2 separate regions of the Mus musculus genome follow, and region 1 is reported to be linked to region 2. Evidence: microRNA targets listed by miRTarBase, many of them from high-throughput screens and not tested one by one. Region 2 holds a microRNA gene; the other region holds the end of a gene's coding sequence.

The links. Region 2 holds the annotated microRNA mmu-miR-3475-3p (UCUGGAGGCACAUGGUUUGAA, at 1,252-1,272, opposite strand). A microRNA usually pairs through its seed, bases 2 to 8, with sites in the 3' UTR of a target mRNA and lowers its output. Matches are read on the target gene's strand: a 7mer-m8 pairs with bases 2 to 8, a 7mer-A1 pairs with bases 2 to 7 and ends in A, and an 8mer does both.
Region 1: miRTarBase lists Madd as a target of mmu-miR-3475-3p. Seed matches in the 3' UTR shown: 7mer-A1 at 953-959 and 7mer-m8 at 1,101-1,107.

The regions. Positions count from the first base shown.
Region 1 is chr2:91,135,011-91,139,010 of GRCm38, reverse strand. Madd (MAP-kinase activating death domain) reads left to right here. Exons shown (of 35, transcript NM_001177720.1): 34 at 256-302; 35 at 610-1,651. The coding sequence ends at 714. Mybpc3 (myosin binding protein C, cardiac) reads right to left here. Exons shown (of 35, transcript NM_008653.2): 31 at 3,760-3,919; 32 at 3,528-3,664; 33 at 3,089-3,275; 34 at 2,870-2,907; 35 at 2,495-2,768. The coding sequence ends at 2,897. Among named protein-coding and RNA genes, the nearest start is that of Mybpc3, 19 kb to the right of the region's middle.
Region 2 is chrX:140,308,114-140,312,263 of GRCm38, reverse strand. It overlaps Mir3475 (microRNA 3475), which reads right to left and starts at 1,316; the gene lies at 1,252-1,316. All of the region lies in intron 3 of Gm32113 (predicted gene, 32113), which reads left to right. It also overlaps a transcript of Frmpd3 not described here.

The sequences.
Region 1 (4,000 bases), not on the chromosome of region 2:
TACCTTGGGACATGCATAGAAGCACGTAGATCGCAGGCATCAAGTAAAAAGCCACGGCAGACTTGCGATGTCTGTTTGAAGAGTCTGCCTGGACAGGCTGAGCTCTGTTCTATCGTAGCCTAAGCCGCCACAGCCACTGTGAGAGGCTACAGAGGGAAGGGGAGCCTGGCACCGGGCGCAGCCGCCCGGGGGAGTAGGACCCTGTTGCTCTTAGTTTTGAACTTTCTGTTTTGTCTCTTGCCCGTCCGGTTTTAGTTCCTGAAATTAAAGAAGTGGTGAGCCACAAGTACAAGACGCCAATGGTGAGTATGCGTCCCAGCCACAGCAGGCCGAAGCACGCAGGGCTCCCTGGGAACCTTCCGGCAAGAAGGGTGGACCCTCGCGGGGGACTAGATGCCAGGGGTTCAACTCAAGTCAAACACACCTTTCATCTGGGGTACATGTGCTGACCCCCCTCTCTCAGGAGAAAGGCTTCCAGAGACTTGCCTGAGGCTCACTCAGCCCAGGGGCCTGCACTAGTGTCAGGGCAGGCCTCGTACTCTAGGCTGACCCTCTACCTAAGAAGGAGTCTCAGTGTGGCTGATCCAACGGGTCTTCTGTTCCCTGCAGGCCCACGAGATCTGCTACTCTGTGTTGTGTCTCTTCTCGTATGTGGCCGCAGTTCGTAGCAGTGAAGAAGACCTTCGAACCCCACCTCGGCCTGTCTCTAGCTGATAGAAGGGTTCCACAGCTGGCCAAGCCCAGGGGTCTCCCCTCACCTCTTGCTGCTCCTAAGCACCGAAGCTGCTGGACTGAGATGGGAATGTGTGTGTGTTCTCAGCAAGTTCCTTCCCACGGTCTAGCTGGTCTTCTCTTACGTCTGAGTGTCTTTGTGTTCATCTGTCACGGGGCTAAGCTAGCCTCATTACTTTCTCTTCCTACAATAGCAGACTAGCCTTCTGTTCCCTCAGGGCTCCAGAGTGTGTGTGTGTGTGTGTGTGTGTGTGTGTGTGTGTGTGTGTGTGGTGTGTGTGGTGTGTGTGTCTGTGGGGTCACTGTGAGCCCACTATTGCCTGTCCTTGAGATGTTTGCACTGTGGTCCCTTGTCCTAGTCCTTATATCCTCCAGTTTAGGAGTCTTCTCTCTGTCCTCTATGATCTGGCACTGTGGGGCACCTGGGACAGTTCCACTCTGGGAAGTGAAAGACACCTGGGGACAAATCTTCCTGGCTGAGGGCCTGGGAGGAGGAGGGGAGGTTCAAAGGAAGCTCAGTAAGTGGTGGGCGACCTTCCTGCTTCCTCACAGTTTCTAAACTGTGGGTGCATGTCATGCTGCTGCCTGCCCCAGCTCCATCGATGGGTGTCCCTGAGTGGCTGCCATGTGCCGAGCTGGGATTTGTGCAGTGGTCTTCCTGGCCTTTGGCATGAGAGGACGGAGGAATGAGGTGATGGTGTCCCAGACAGCACCAGCTGCTCTGCCTAAGGGCCGGGGATAGGTGGGTCAGGGCTGAGCTGAGCCCAGAGTGCACGCCTGTCTGCAGGCAGAGTCTCCTGGCTTCAGTGCCAGAAGAAAGCTATGGACTGGATAGGAGGAGAATGTAAATATTTCAGCTCCACATTATTTATAGAAAAATGTACAGCTGTGTGATGTGAAATAAATGTCCTGAACTCCACTTGGGCTCCTGTGCACTCCTCTCAGCCCGGGCCTGAGGAAGGCTGTCCCTAGCTCATCTGCATCCAGCGTTGGCATACTGAGAGCCTGCCCTGGCCTCCTGCCTCCTGGGCTTCCTGGGGTGCCAGAAAGGAACACCTACGACACTACGGCTGTAAAGTCCTGAGATGTTCTGGGCACTAGAGAGGAGGTGACTTGGGCATTCACACCTGAACAGCTTGATAAAGAAGTCACAGGAAAACAGGGGTACTGCTCTGTGACCCTGTACACGTGTGTTCAGATGTGCTGTGGTGACCTGGGCCTCCCAAGGGCCTTCGGACCAGGGTTCTGTAAAAAATAAAGTGGTAACCCATGTCCAACCCTCATGGGCTATCTATGCCATGGGAAACCCTGGCACCTGTGGGCAGAATACCCAGCACACTGCCATGACACTTCTGAGACCTGCCGGCCACAAGATTTGTAAGGAAATGTGGTCTCTTGGGAGGAAGTCAGAGAAGGTTGTGATTTCCTGTGTCTGAGCTGCATGGAGTCACTCTGTCCCATGAGATGTGGTCGTGAGCTGTGGGCTCTTGGAGTCTTGATGTCTAATACAGTACAGGGCTCTACTGCCCTGTCCCCCGTATAGCACCCAGCTGGTGTTGCCTGGGTTACTGGCATGAGGCCCATATGCCTGTGCCTCCAACGGCTTTCACTTCCACACTTCCTCACCTGAGCATGAGGGTGGAGGGAGGCTGACATCCTTTCCAGTGCTGATGTCCCACAAGTCCAGGACACTGAACTGGAGAGTGGGGTGACCAAGCGAATGCTGTATGCTTTCCCATGGACATGAACAGGAGACATCAACCCCCAGGAATGGCACAGATCTTTTATTGCTCCTACACAATGAGCCAGCCAAAAGGGCCTGTCCCCAGTCACCACTTCTGAAGCCCACACACTTTATGCTCCCAGTATTAACATTATCCTTAGGGTCAGTTTCTTCAGAACCCAGCAGACCTGCCTGGTGTCACTGCTGGCCAGTCCTTCCAGGATGCACAGTTGCACACACACATGCAGTAGCAGAAAAGGGTGCTCCTCCAACTCCCTTCCGGTCTGGTACACAGCCTGGCATCCATTTGTACCTGAGACATAGGCTGCCTTGTGGATGAACTGTGGCTTCTTGTACCCCCATTTCCTGATAGCCACCCTAGGCCCTTGGCCTTAGGTGGTTTGGAATACGTACCTAGCCATCTCTGGGGAGCCATCCTGGTCACTGAGGAACTGTAAGAGGGAAGGAAACCATGTGATTCCCTAGTCTTCCAAAAGCCAAGATCCACTGAACATGTCAGGACCAGTGATCTAGCAGCCAGAGGTACTCCTTGAACCAGGACAGCAGAGCCAAGCCCAGGGTCCATGGTGCTGTCCTGCTTTCTCCCAAGCCCTGGCCCAGAAGGCTCCTTACCTCGCACCTCCAGGCGGCACTCACACTGTGCCTCGCCCTGCAAGTTGGTGGCCCTGCAGACATAGACACCACCATCATAGGGGCAGGGTTTCCTGATCTCCAGGGTCAATACTCCCTGCTTGCAGAACATGCGGAAGCGAGCATCTTCTCCCAGATCCAGGCCATTCTTGAACCAGGAAATCTTGGGCTGAACATCAAGTAAACAGAAGAGAAGGAGAGCATTTTGGTGATGGAAGAACCGGTGAGAATTCAGAGAGACTATTCTAGAAATTCCCACTAGAGCACCAGACTCAGCCAGAGGCTGAGAATGAACAGAGAGTCAGCAATGGGGGATTAGGCTCTGCTCAGGGGAAAGACAATATAGACTGGGGAGAGTTAACCATAAGGAGCCTAGGAGACCAGCCTCCTGTCAGTCTAGCCCAGGACCTTGAGTCCCTACCTTAGGACTACCTCGGACAGCACAGCAGAGGATGGCATTATAGCCTGCAATGATGGAGCGATTTGCCAAGGGCTGGGTGAAGCTTGGGGCCTCAGAGAAGTCCAGGGCCTTGTATTTGGGTGGCTCATATGTGATGCCTGTTGGTGACAAGTCTTGGTACCAAGAAGGTCACCCCAAGTGAGGCTCCCCCTCCTTCCCCAGATTCCTCACAGTGTGAGGGAGGGTACAGCACCTGGTCTTGGAATAAAGACTGGCTCCTTGGTGGCGGCAGCTTTGTCACTGGAACCCACCATGTTATGGCTGAAGACCCGGAAGTAGTAGCCATTGCCAATGATAAGCTCTGATACCACACAGTGAGTGCGTCGGTAGTGTTCCAAAACCGTGAACCACTCCTGGAGGATGGTGAAGGAAGGGAGGACTCTCTGAGGGACCTCTGCCTTTCTTGGGTACCCCCTGTGCCACTACCCCTACCA
Region 2 (4,150 bases):
CCCTGGTCTAGACATTCCTTGAAGAATGTTATTTCCCGATTTCTCTAACTGCTTGTGGACACTGCAGAATAGTGCTTGGTCTGTTTCCTGTTGGTCTCTTTTTTCCTTTTTCCTTGCTCCCTACTGGTCAGGAGATTTGCTCCCACTAGAGCTCCTCTTCCCCACCCTAGGACTGATGCCACTTGTCAAGGTTGAAGATTGATGGTGGGTGCTGCTGGATTTCTGCACCTCTTCTTCCATTGCCTGCCTCTCTCTGGCTCTGGGATCTGAGAGAATTCTTTGTGTTCCATTCATATTCTTATTTCTTCAAGGTTTTTGATACCCCTCCTTTGAATTGGTTAATATGAGGAAGAGGTGGAAGAGGTGGTGGAAGAGCAGGAGGAGGAATCTGAGGAAGAAGAGGAGAAGCCATTGTTGGCCTCCCTTTCCCAGTTCAGATTTCTAGGAAGACTGGCTTCCCCCTTGTGATCTCCCCACTGACTGATCTTATCCCAAGGCTCCTTTCTCCTCTAGATTGACTCTACTGGGCAGTTTGCTTCAGGTTCATTTAGCAGCATAATCTTCAGCCCATGGGGACAGTACAAGCAGCTCGTTGGAAGGCTGTCATGTCTGGAAGGTGGGGTGGACAGAGCCTTTGAGTATAGCCAGAAGGGGATATACTGATCTCAAGGAACCACCTGCTTCCTCAGCCACCTTTATACCACGCATAACTCACCAGCTCGATCTAGTTCTTCACCTGCAGTGCAGGGGGGTCTTAGCACAGTGCTAAATGGGCACAATTAAGCTCTCTAGGTGACCGTCTCTAGCCACTGTCACTCTTTGCCATCTGCCAGCTGATGTCTACATATTTTTGCAGTGAAAAGCAGTGCCACCCTTTATTCAGACAGGCAAGCAAGAAGCAAGAGGAGGGGGCTCCACGGAGAGTCCTATATTTGGGCCCTACCAGCAGAGTCTAAGGATGTGTTCTCTTTTATACAGTAGATAGCTGTGTGGAGGGCAGGGCACAGCAAACAGTGGGCATGCTAGTCAGAATCTGAATTCTAACAAATGGTTAGCACATTTTATTTTTACCAGAATAACAAGAAGCTTCTAAGACAGGGTGCGGCTGGGGTAAACAGGCGAGGAGGATCCAAGGGCAGAAGATCCCAGGCTGAGTGAGAATCCTGGGGAATCCGGACAGCAGCAGGATGAGGCGGTCCAACCCGGCCAAGATGGTGAGCAGGAATGAAAATCCAGTCTTGTGCTCTGCTCTTCAAACCATGTGCCTCCAGAAGAACTAAGAACCATCTGGACCCTCTGTGGGGGTACATGATTTGGGGAGCAGAGCATAGTCTTGGTGAAGGCCTCTTCATTTGCGTGGAATAGCTCAAACTACAGCACATCAGTGTTATCCTCCCCAATATTGGAGCTCAGAAGACCGAGCTGTTGAAGACTGACTGGCCTACACCCTGTCATCTTTGGTTTCAGAGCATACAAAGGCCGGGTCAATGGAGAACCTGCTTGGGTCACCAGAGCAATGGGAAGCTGTAAGATTAAGGTGAAGATGCAATTTCTTTCTTTCTTTCTTTCTTTCTTTCTTTCTTTCTTTTTTTTTTTTTTGAGGGAATTATTTTCCAGAACTTTCTGCTTACCAAAAGTAGTAGTTTAACTGTGCTTTATTTTATGGTAAAAGTAATACGTGTCTTTTATGTCTTCCAACATCTCCAGTGGACTGCCCTTCATATGACTGCTACTTAATCACTCTGCCCATATTGGATGGAACTCCTATCCAAGCATGCTCTTTGGGGATGCTGTTCTTTCATGTTCTGCACTGGGATGAAAATGAAGCCATGATACCATGATAGTAATCCTCAGTTTCCCTATCTGTATAATGGAGACAGATGAAGGCCCCCTCCTCTTCTTAGGTATCTTGACCTTTCAAAGCCTGTGTTAGCTTTGGTTTTTGCCTCCTCTTCTATAGAAACTAGACAGAAGAAGCTGAGTTAAGGAAAGCTGTGGACCTTTGGGCAGAGGCTGTTGAGCCCCATGCTCAACGTTACAGGTAAAAACCAGGAAAGCGAAACGCAGACCAAAAGGCTCAGGCAAGACCAAGGGAGATGGCCAAGCCTGAAGTCAGCCAGCAGTTAACTACTAACAAGCACCGCACAGATGTTATCTTCATTTCAGAGTGGCCTTTCCAGTAAGCCTCTGCTGACAAAAGAGGGAGGGGCAGGCTGGAAAGAGAGTAAAGACCTCCTGGACCTTGGCCTGACTCCAGAGCATGGCTACCTTGCTGTGGGAAGACAGGCAAGAGGATGGAGAGACAGGGAAGTGGGTGGGGATGCTTTCTCAAGGCCACATTTCAATTAGGACTGCCTGGCAAAGGTACAGGAAAAGAAAAGAGTCCTTCACTTGGTGTGTGTGTGTGTGTGTGTGTGTGTGTGTGTGTGTGTGTGTGTGCTGTTTGTTTCCTTGTGCAATGCATACTGCATTATGGTTTATTGTAAAAGGACAGGATTAAACCAGACGTGGCAATACATTCTTATAATCCCATCACTTGGGAGGTGGAGACAAGAAGATCATGAGTTCAAGGCCATCCTCAGCTGCACAGTGAGTACAAGATCAGCTAGAGCTACTTGAGAATTTGCCCCACCCCCATTTAAAGACTGGATTAGGATTCTGGGTCTCTGCTTCAACTAATTAGCTGGGTTGTATTGGGTCAATTCCTTGCCTTCAGTAAGTCCTGGCTTATTTACATGCAGTTACGTACAATACCAGGAAGAAAACGAAACTAAGAAAAATACTGCATTCAGGCCTATCTCTATCCACTTACTTTCATTTGTTATACCCATTCTGCATAAGGCCCTTGTGAACAGTCAGATTTCTTCCAGACCCAGACTCAATGATTTTGGAACACAGCTATCAAACATGACACAGGAGGAGATTTAATTTCCTAGAGGCTGAAGTCCCAGAGATTCAGGAGAATCTCCAAGGATTCATTCTGGCTAGCTTTCCTGTGACCAGCTTGCTCGCTCTATCAGGAGTTGGGCAGGTTTATTCAATCTAGCTCACTGTCTCTATTTGCTCTCTCTCTCTCTCTCTCTCTCTCTCTCTCTCTCTCTCTCTCTCGTTCGCTCTCCCTCTCTCTCCATTCTCTTGGTGGCATTTATCCTTTATAGTGATTGATGTAGACACTAGGCAAAGGCTTGCCAAGGGAAAATGCAAATTATGTCCCTGTCCCTTTTCCTCCTGCACTGGGATGGCCGAGAGCTCTTCTGTCTGGTGGGGCTGAAGCTGGGAGGGTGTAGCAAGGTAGAGGCAGGGACAAAGTGATCCCCACAAAGTACCATTCATTGTGTGGTTGGGTGAGCTGGCCTGCAACCGAATGGCTCTATTTGTTGAGCTCTGAACCAAGCCTCACATACTGCTAGCAGGAAGATGGGTGACTCTTTCTCTGCCTTGTTATGTCCCTCCTACTTCCCCATGAGCAAAACCTCAAGTGACCAATAGATCATATAGAAATAAGGCCAAGTGACTGGTCCTTTCTACTGATGTCTCCTTTTTATCAAAGCTGGGGCCATTTACCACTACCGTCATGCCATGACAGGCCAATTTTTGAGAGCTCTGCTGAGTCCCACCGACCAGATATGCAGTGAGATGTGAAGCTCTGAGCTGGATGGTAGAAAGCTAATGTAAATGAGCTGATGAAAATGTCAGTCACATTTCCATTCTCCACTCATTCATGGATGACTGACAAGTACCACCATGACCTGTAGGGGGCATGGGACCAAAATGTATCTTCCGTTGAATAATTCAGAACCAATGAGATAACCCTAATGATGAGCTGTGGTAGCTGTAACCTCAGAACTTGCTCATTGCTCGCTCCAATCAGCCACAGTAGACAACTGGTATAGCTCTGCCATCTTACCTGTCAATGAACCAGGAATGCACAGCCACACAATGACTCAGGCATTGCCTCCTCTCCATCACTGTGCTCCAATCTTCCGAGTGCTTTTGGGACACATGACTCATCTTTAGTACGATCTAGGTTAGCTACAGAAAGCTATATGTTCATTTCTTTACAAGCCTGCTCACATTAAGAGTTTCGTTGATTCTGTCCATTTATAATGATAAATATTTTTAAATATACCGAGCATCTAAATTTAGACTT